2 linked regions of the Xenopus tropicalis genome follow. The protein of the gene in region 1 interacts with the protein of each later gene in a pairwise test. Links are inferred from orthologs where the notes say so. Each region holds a gene or a part of one and is shown in the gene's direction. Other genes may lie near its edges. The genes, in order: ybx1 and c1qbp.

Evidence for each region.
Region 2: the proteins of ybx1 (region 1) and c1qbp interact in binary tests that used the Homo sapiens proteins (3 or more experiments, as listed by UniProt). The link is inferred for Xenopus tropicalis from reciprocal best matches to the Homo sapiens genes YBX1 and C1QBP.

Annotation. Positions count from the first base shown.
Region 1 is NC_030683.2:94,733,766-94,738,166, reverse strand, and holds the start of ybx1 (nuclease-sensitive element-binding protein 1), read left to right. Parts: upstream 1-1,363; 5' UTR 1,364-1,518; coding exon 1,519-1,618; intron 1,619-2,871; coding exon 2,872-2,935; intron 2,936-3,753; coding exon 3,754-3,787; intron 3,788-4,104; coding exon 4,105-4,194; intron 4,195-4,401. UniProt on the Homo sapiens protein: DNA- and RNA-binding protein involved in various processes, such as translational repression, RNA stabilization, mRNA splicing, DNA repair and transcription regulation.
Region 2 is NC_030678.2:105,098,189-105,102,482, reverse strand, and holds the start of c1qbp (complement component 1 Q subcomponent-binding protein, mitochondrial), read left to right. Parts: upstream 1-1,436; 5' UTR 1,437-1,561; coding exon 1,562-1,772; intron 1,773-2,671; coding exon 2,672-2,822; intron 2,823-4,201; coding exon 4,202-4,289; intron 4,290-4,294.

The DNA of each region.
Region 1 (4,401 bases):
ATATATTTCAAAGAAATTAAACTATAATGTACTGCTGCCCTGCACTGGTAAAAGTTGTGTGTTTGCTTCAGAAACATTACTAGAGTTTATATAAACCCTGGTGTGTAGCCATGGGGGCAGCCATTCAAAAGAAGAAAAGGCACAGGTTATATAGCAGCTAACAGATAAATCCTGTAGAATACAATGGTGTCTTATCTGTTATCGGCTATGTGCCTGTGCCTTTTCTCCAGCTTGAATGGCTGCCCCCATGGCTACACAGAAGCTTATTTATATAAACTATAGTAGTGTTTCTGAAGCAAACACCCCAGTTTTACCAGCGCAGGGCCACAGTACATTATATTTCAATTACTTTAAAACACTTTCATTTTTTGGTGTTACTGTTCCTTTAATAGACCAGTAATCAGTCAGTGTTGAACCATGAATTGTCAGCTCATACATCATTATTGATCTGACCTAACCAGTCAGAAAGACTAATTCATATTATTTAATTCTCATTTGCTTTTGTGGAGTTTTATTAAAATTATATGAGATAGATTTTAATGTGTCTTAAACTATCACATTTATATTAGTATTTGCGATGTGCATGCTGTTATTGCAGCTATGGAGCATACTGCAAGTTAGGCTGTGCAAGTGTACTGCTGATGTGACTATTCCCGCTATTATTAAAGCCCATTTATAAAACACTAATATACTCTGCTGTGTAATGTATTTGGGAAAATATAAGCAATAAGGCAGAAATTACACCATTGCGAAGAAACAAACAGAAATCAAGACATGAGGTCGGGGGGGCCTGCCCGTTAGACAATCCGAGGATTAGGAAATAAGCAATACGCCATACTTCCATAAAACCTTGGATTTGGACTCAGCGCCATAACAATAGACAGAGTCCGTTGCCTAAGCACAACCCCTTATATGAGTGATCTGGTATCATTACCTTCAGCTCATAAGGGCTGATGTGCCGGGAAACAGCTGAACTAAACACAAGTCAAATATTGAGGTACCTGCCCAATAGTTTATTGCATTTATCCTACCCCCCACACCTTACACTTTATTGATCACTGTTTATATCAGCCTTAGAGCTCAACAGCTACATCCCATCCAATAATGCAGACGCTAGAGGCAGAGACTAATCCCTCCAATCCTGTTATTGACATCTGCCTTAGCCAATAAGATTACAGAAGGAACACATCCAAACAGAGCGCGTCGATTCTTGATTGACAAGCCATTCGACCATACAACTGCAGAGTTTTTTACTAAACCCGTAGACTGACAAGCCAATTGACCAATAGGATAATAGCCAGGGCGGGATGTCTGCGATGATTAACCCGTCTGTAAGGCCATTGCCAGGCAGTTCGATCGGTAGCGGGAGCGGAGAGCGGACAGCAGGGAGCTCGAAAGGCAGCAGCCCCACCGCCGGCCTGAGTTACCATCAACACCCCGGGGGGAAGTTAAAGCGAGCCAACCGCCGGCCCGAGTCACCACCTCCGAAAGCAGCCAACTTACACCATCAAAGACACAATGAGCAGCGAGGTTGAAACACAACAGCAGCAGACAGTCGCATTGGAGGGCAAGGCCGGCCAGGAACCGGCGGCCACCGTGGGGGAGAAGAAGGTCATCGGTAAGTACGATTGAATTAGCATACGAGAGATGCCTCTCGGACACAGGCAGGGCTGGGTATTTGGCGCGTCAGGCTCAATATGACTACTACTCCCAGCATCCCCTGTGCAGTCACGTTGGTTAAGGCGATTACTAGATATTTGCACAAACAGGCGCGGTTATCTGTTTATTTATAGTGTGAGGGAGCGGTTTTCGCTTTTACTATAGGGCGCGGGTGAGTGGCGGTTACACCGACGTGGAGTGTCGTGCCACGCGGAGTTGTTGGTGACGGATCTCTGCCCCCCCCGGCGCCGTGACATCACCCCCCCCCCCGCAGCGCCGTGACATCATCCCTTCCTGTGTCCTGAGAGGAATAGGGCCTGTAACATGTCCGCCGCCGCCTGCGGCCTACACCCCCCCCACCTCCTCTTTTGTATGCCGCCGCGCCTTTGCTGGGTCCCCAGTAGCGCCTCTGGCCTCACGTTTGCTTTGCAAACATACGGGGGAGTGTGAGGGCCGTGATGGCGCTGGGAATTGGCGGCTCCGTGTGTCCCGGCTGCTCGGGTTGCGGCTCTGGCCCGGCTCCAGCCACGTGGTGTGTGAGTAGTTGTGGCACGGAGCTGCTCGTACCGCCTGGGCCTGAGCGGGAGGGGCATGAGAGCCATTTTAGTCTATCTTTGCACTCGGCTTGCTTAGTAGCAGCCTTTATAGCGCTTGGCAATAAACGGGGATTCTGGGAGTTGTAGTTTTTCATTTGAAAAAAAGAATTGACAACACTCTTATGGCCCCAAATAGCAATGTTTGTTTGCTGATGCCTTTAATTGTAATTCCGTGTGTTTATATAGCAGTGAGTGGGAATGCACACAACCAGTTGCATTACTTTCCCTCAGGAAATGTTGCTACCAGGGCCATGGGATAGGGCTTTGTTTTTGTTCCTCTTCCCCCATCCACCCCCATCCATCCTACTCAATGTAATTACTGTATAGCTGTGCCTGGCCCAGTAGCCATTGAAGTTGTATGTCCAGATAGCCATTAAACTAGCAGTGTTTATGTATTGCTTTGGCTTGTATCTCACTGGCTGCTGATCAATAAGTTGCATGTAACTAGTATTTATAATTTCTAATTATTTTTTTTTGTAAAAGTTAGCTTTCCAAACCACCACCCACCCCCTGTGTTTATGGTGCTACTGTGCTGCCAGAAAGTGATTGCTCTATTGTGCATATTAGATTGATCTTGTGCCTCACTCCAAACTAACGATTTTTTATTTTCTTTCAGCAACCAAGGTTTTGGGTACGGTCAAATGGTTTAATGTGCGCAATGGTTACGGCTTCATTAACAGGTGAGTTCATATTTCTGCCCCAACTTAGATTAGTAATTTGGTAAACTTGTTACAGCCTGCCTGACCCTTCGGGGCCATGCACGTGGTACTTCCCATAAATGCTTGTTTTAATATGGTTTAGCAAGTATATATTCCAGGATATGCGGTTAAGCAATACCAGAAGTTACTTAAATTACTTAACACTTGGGGAAGGCATAGTTTAAAAATGTTTTTATAGAGATGGGGAGCTGCTGTATTGCTTGCTTCCTAAGTAGCACTGCCTACCGGTTTCAGCGCTGTACTTCTATGAATGCCTGTGCCAAGAAAATGATCTTTGCCTGTCGCTGTTGTAGAAATTCAGATACACAACAAAAACAGTAATTGCACCCAGTAGCCAGGGCTGGCATGCTTTAATTCAGCTTTCCCTTATCCTTTCGACTGTATCTTAAGATTTTTCTGCTTTTTGAAAGGAAATGTACTTTTTTCACATAAACCAAATAAATCGGTTTGTTAAAAACAATTATATAAGATGGCTTCTTTCCTAAAATGTCAGAAATGAGCTATATGATGTGGGCTTTATGGAGAAAAAAAGGATGCTGGTTGAAATATATTTTCATTTGCCCATTCTTTGTCTAAAGGCAATGCTTTGTGGTTGGTAGAAAAAATGCCTTTCCAGCATTATTCCTATTTTTGTGCTTATGTTGCCTTTAGTGTTTGACCTATACATATAAATTAATTTGCACAGTACAAGCCTTTAATCTATTTTTGTTTTGTTTAGCTTTGTTGTGCTGTGAAAATTTCTACCTTTTGTCGTTAACATTTTGTTTTTATCCTTATAGGAATGACACCAAGGAAGATGTGTTTGTACACCAAGTAAGTATTCCACTTATCTGGGTTTTTTTTACAGATGTCTAGTCCAATCTAGTATAGAAAATGTATTCTATAACTTCTAATATGGTAACTTGTATTTGAGTATAGTGTTGATCAAAGCGGATTGCCTTGGTGTAATAAAAGAATGCATACTGAATAGAAAGTCATGACTGTTCCACAGTTGGATAGGACATTTTCCTACACCTTTTTATATTGCCATGGAACTAGATAGAGCAAAAGCAGATTTAATCAGTTTTCAGCATTTGTTCAGATTTCTTTTAATGTCTTTTTATTTAAAAAAAAAAATATATTTTTTTTAGACTGCCATCAAGAAGAATAACCCTAGGAAGTACCTTCGCAGTGTGGGAGATGGTGAAACTGTTGAGTTTGATGTAGTGGAGGGTGAAAAGGTAAGACTATCAAAAGGGTACGAGGATACGTTTTACACAAGCTACAAGTGTATATTTTTAGTCTTCAACATTTCTGAACTATATAACCTATACCAGAAATAGCATAATATTTTATACTGCCACTTGATCATATTAAATCATTGAAACTTGGTCATTTTGGTTACCATTTCTACATCCCTATGTCTGTTTTTAGTCTGTTACGTTAGT
Region 2 (4,294 bases), on another chromosome or scaffold:
TAAAATTACACTTTGCACACTGTGGTGTTGTTCACCACTTTTTCTTCAGAAACTTGTGACATAAGTGCCTCAAAACTAAACTTTAGATGGCCATACACTATAACAGGAATCCCCAAACTTTTTTTTATCCAGGAGCCACATTCAAATGCAAAGTGTTGGTGAGCCACACAAGCATGAAAAAAGTTCTTTGGGGATGCCAAATAAGGACTGCTATTGGCTATTTGGTAGCCCCATGTGGACTGAAAGCCTGCAGGAGCCTTTGGTTGGAGTAAAACTTTAAGGCCACTGGGAGCAACATCAAAGGGGTCGGTGAGCAACATGTTGCTTACGAGCCACAGGTTGCAGATCACTGCACTAAGGTGGGCAATATTGGGCTAATTCTATCATTATATATCATTAAATTACAATGAAAAGACTAGAAGTCGTCAGAGCAAGGGCCACAGTGACAAGCCAATGTGGTCTTCAATCCCACAGTAAATTTAAACCAGCCCGATTTCACTGGCACATAAGGCCCCCCCTAAACCAGAGGGCCCACTTTTATGTTATCTTATCAATTTTTAAAAAAAAAAAAGTAATTTTAGTTTGAAAAATGACATTATTATTATTAACATTTATTTATAAAGCGCCAACATATTCCGCAGCGCTGTACAATAAGTGGGTTTTATACAGTGGAGATACAAAGTAAAATATGAAGCAATCAATAACTGATACAACAGGTGAAGAGGGCCCTGCCCAAAAGAGCTTACAATCTACAAATACATGGTGCTGTTCCAATATTTTGCTAAAGTGTCCGTAAAGTGTAGTAAGAGGAATGTACACTGGCTTTACAACCAGGAGCCATATTAGGATATATACCTCAAAGGCAGCTGCTTACAGACGGGAGCTGTTTGTTTGTTCAGGTAGAAGGAGAGCTTTGAACAAACAACCATGTTTAGAAGAAAAGAGCGGCTTATTTGAGTAAAAATAACCCAAATTTCAAAGTCATACTTTATAACTGCAAAAAATAAGATTTTTATTTTTTTTTAAACTGAAACAATATGCAGAATGCCATTTCAGCTCGAGTCCTATTTATTGTATTTATTTTCAGCCAAGGTGTTTTCAGGTGTACACAGTGGGGCAGAATATGCACGCCAACATCAGCAGTGATGTTGCCCCTAGCAACCAATCAGAGCTTTGCTTTTGTTCTCTAACTACTACTTTAGCTACTGATTGGTTGCTACAGGGTAACATCTCCGGTAATGTTGGCTTACACAAAACTATAATAAATATGACCCTTCAGAAGTACAAGCATTGTGTTTCTCCAAGCTGCCAGTCTATGTGACCAGTAAACCACTGGATTCTAATTTCTCATTTCAAGCGTTACAATACAACGTCTATATACAACAAAGGTTTCTCTTCCGAACGTATTCCTTACAGACAGAAGCAATCAACAGCGACCTCTGCGTGTAGCCAAGGAGACCTTGACGACACTTCCTGTGCTCCGCCTCCTTTTCGGGAGGTGAAAGGTCAGGGGTGTCACGGTGTCCTCTTGTCACACACACACGTGGGTATCTGCAGGACCATGTTCTCCACACTGTCCCGAGCTCTCTTATCCGCCACACGGGTAGCGGCCGTACGGCCCCAACAGCTGCTGAGCTCTTTGTGCACCGGACGATCCTTCTCACGCTCATTATGTTTGCTCGGGGGGAATCCGGGGCTCAGGCAGACTTTCCTGCATCCTCAACGTGGCTTCCCGGCCGTGTCCTGTGGCTGTGGGGGACTGCACACTGAGGGTAAGTGCTCTCCTGGCCCTTACATTAGTGCGCTATGTAAGGCAGGGTTTTGGTACCATTCCACAACTAAACTGTGAGCTCTTCGGGACATGGATGTACATTTTTTGTCTGTTCTTCGCGTCTGCCTCCCAGACATTTGTATGCCTACATCCACATACTGAAAATGCTTGTTTTTCTTAATGCTTGTTTCGATATCAGATTATAATATAAATGTTTTTTAAATCATTTTATTTCATGAATATGAGATTCATTATATATGAAAAATAACCTTTCTGTAAATTGTTTTGAATCAAGTAATTCTTCACTAGAGCTTTCTCAAGTATGCAGGCTTTGTGTCATATTTTGGACATATTTTTTACATTGTCGGGTCAGTGTTTCCTTTGCCTAGATGGTATTTTACATTAAATTATCCTAAAATACTATGGGACCAGATAAAGCAGGAATATGCACATTACAAATATTTTATTGTGTCATTGTTGAGATGTGAAATGATTTATTAGTGTAATTCCTGAATGATGTTGCATGTGTGACTTTCAGAGTTGTAAGTCATCCCCAATGGAACCAAAACTGTTTTATATACTACCTTAGTGCTCATTCCAAACAAGATACTGCAAACAGTATAACATGAATAAAAATGTAAGATATAGACATATAAGTTATCGGCAAGTACAATATATTCACTTTATTACAAAAAAAAATTACATTTGCAGGATACGTTTGCTATGTCCCGTTTTCTCAAAGAAAATAAAGACTTAATTCTTAAAAGTAGTATAGAATGTGTAATAGGTGTGCATGATCAAGTTGTTTCTTTAGAAGTCTGAAAGCTGATGCACAGTTTTGAAAAATAAGCTTCAAATCCCCCCTAAAATGTGTTGATTTATTTTTTATATTTATTGTAGGTGACAAGGCATTTGCTGAATTTCTCAAAGATGAAATCAAAGAAGAGAGAAAGATCCAGAAACATAAGAACCTTCCCAAAATGTCTGGTGGGTGGGAATTAGACATCAATGGCACAGAGGCTAAACTGGTCAGAAAAATATCAGGTGAAAAGTAAGTGTACTAATGATGGTTGCCTATATCCTAGCATATAGTTAAATGATATGATGAATCTGCCACTTGAGATAAAAATTATATTGTCCTCTTAAGTAAGCCTTATTTTTTTAATCCCCTAAAATTACTCTAAACAGCCCCCAGAATAACACACGTTTTAACCATGAAAATTGATTTTGTTTTTGTATTACAAGCAGCTGCATCTCCTTTACTGACTTGCTTGTCTAATGTGAAGCTCTGCCCTGTTTAGCTTTCTAAGCTCTCCTCTCTTCCACTATGAAGACCTTAAAGAGGTGCTTACTGGGCATGCTCACTGCCTCTGCACACAATAAAATCAATCAGGCATGAGGTCATAGTCGGAGAGAGGAGTGCTCCGAAAGCAAAAAGGGGAGGGGGCTTCCCCCTAGACAAGGAGGTCATTAAAAATGCTGTAGTTGAACTGACTGTAATAGGGAAACTAAAATTTGGATGAGAGAAAGGTATGTTGTTCTGGGGGCTGTACAGAGTTTTAAAAAAAAAAACCTACTTATTTTGACTTGTTCTTTTACTGACCCAATTCATCTTCCTGGGTTGATGTAGAGGCATTTTGTTAAGAAACATATTCTTGCTTCAGTGATTAAACATTGGACCTCAGATATAAGTGCAGTAGAATACGATTGTAATGTATTCACATTAAGCACAAAACCAGAATAATCTGCTATACATGCTCATGTATAGTCCACTAATATTTTAAGACAAGACAAGGAATTCAGGGGAAACATTATCATAATACCTGATTTATGATTCTTAATTTTACCTTTGCAATAGGCAGTAACAAATGAGAATGAAAATTAAATTGGAAGGAAAAGGCATAATCACTGAGGGGTGTCAAAATATAAGTGATTATTGGTGCAAGTTGACTATATTCCTGGATGGCCAAGTTGCTCCTATTCCTTCTTGGTTTACATTGCATTGTGGGGATGAGGTGATGTTCTCGTAGGCAAGATGTTAACATTTGTCCTCCAGCCTATCAGAACATTGTCCCTTCCCCAAGTGTGCTGTCACTCATGAAGATGTTTAACTTCAAGCCATGCAAGTTAGTAAGGGATGAGCTGGAGGAGGCAGGTGGGCACATACATTACAAAAGAATAACAGCACTAGGGTTTATATATTCCTGTTAAAACCTGGAATGTGCCTCTATCCCATTAAGACTTATTTTCTGGGAGTCTGAAAATATATTAAGTGTAGTGACAGCTTATAGATTACCAGCTAACCATTTAATGGCCAAATACATCAATATAATCAGCATGGTGGGTAGACTGGTGAAATCCTATGTAAACATATTGAAGTAGCATCAGTTATAATTACTTAAGCTTGGAAAATATATTTTGTCTTATTAGGATTGCAGTTACTTTCAACACAAACAATAGCATTCCACCAAGTTTTAATGAGGAGCCACAAGAAGGTCAGAAAGCTGAGGAGAATGAGGTAAA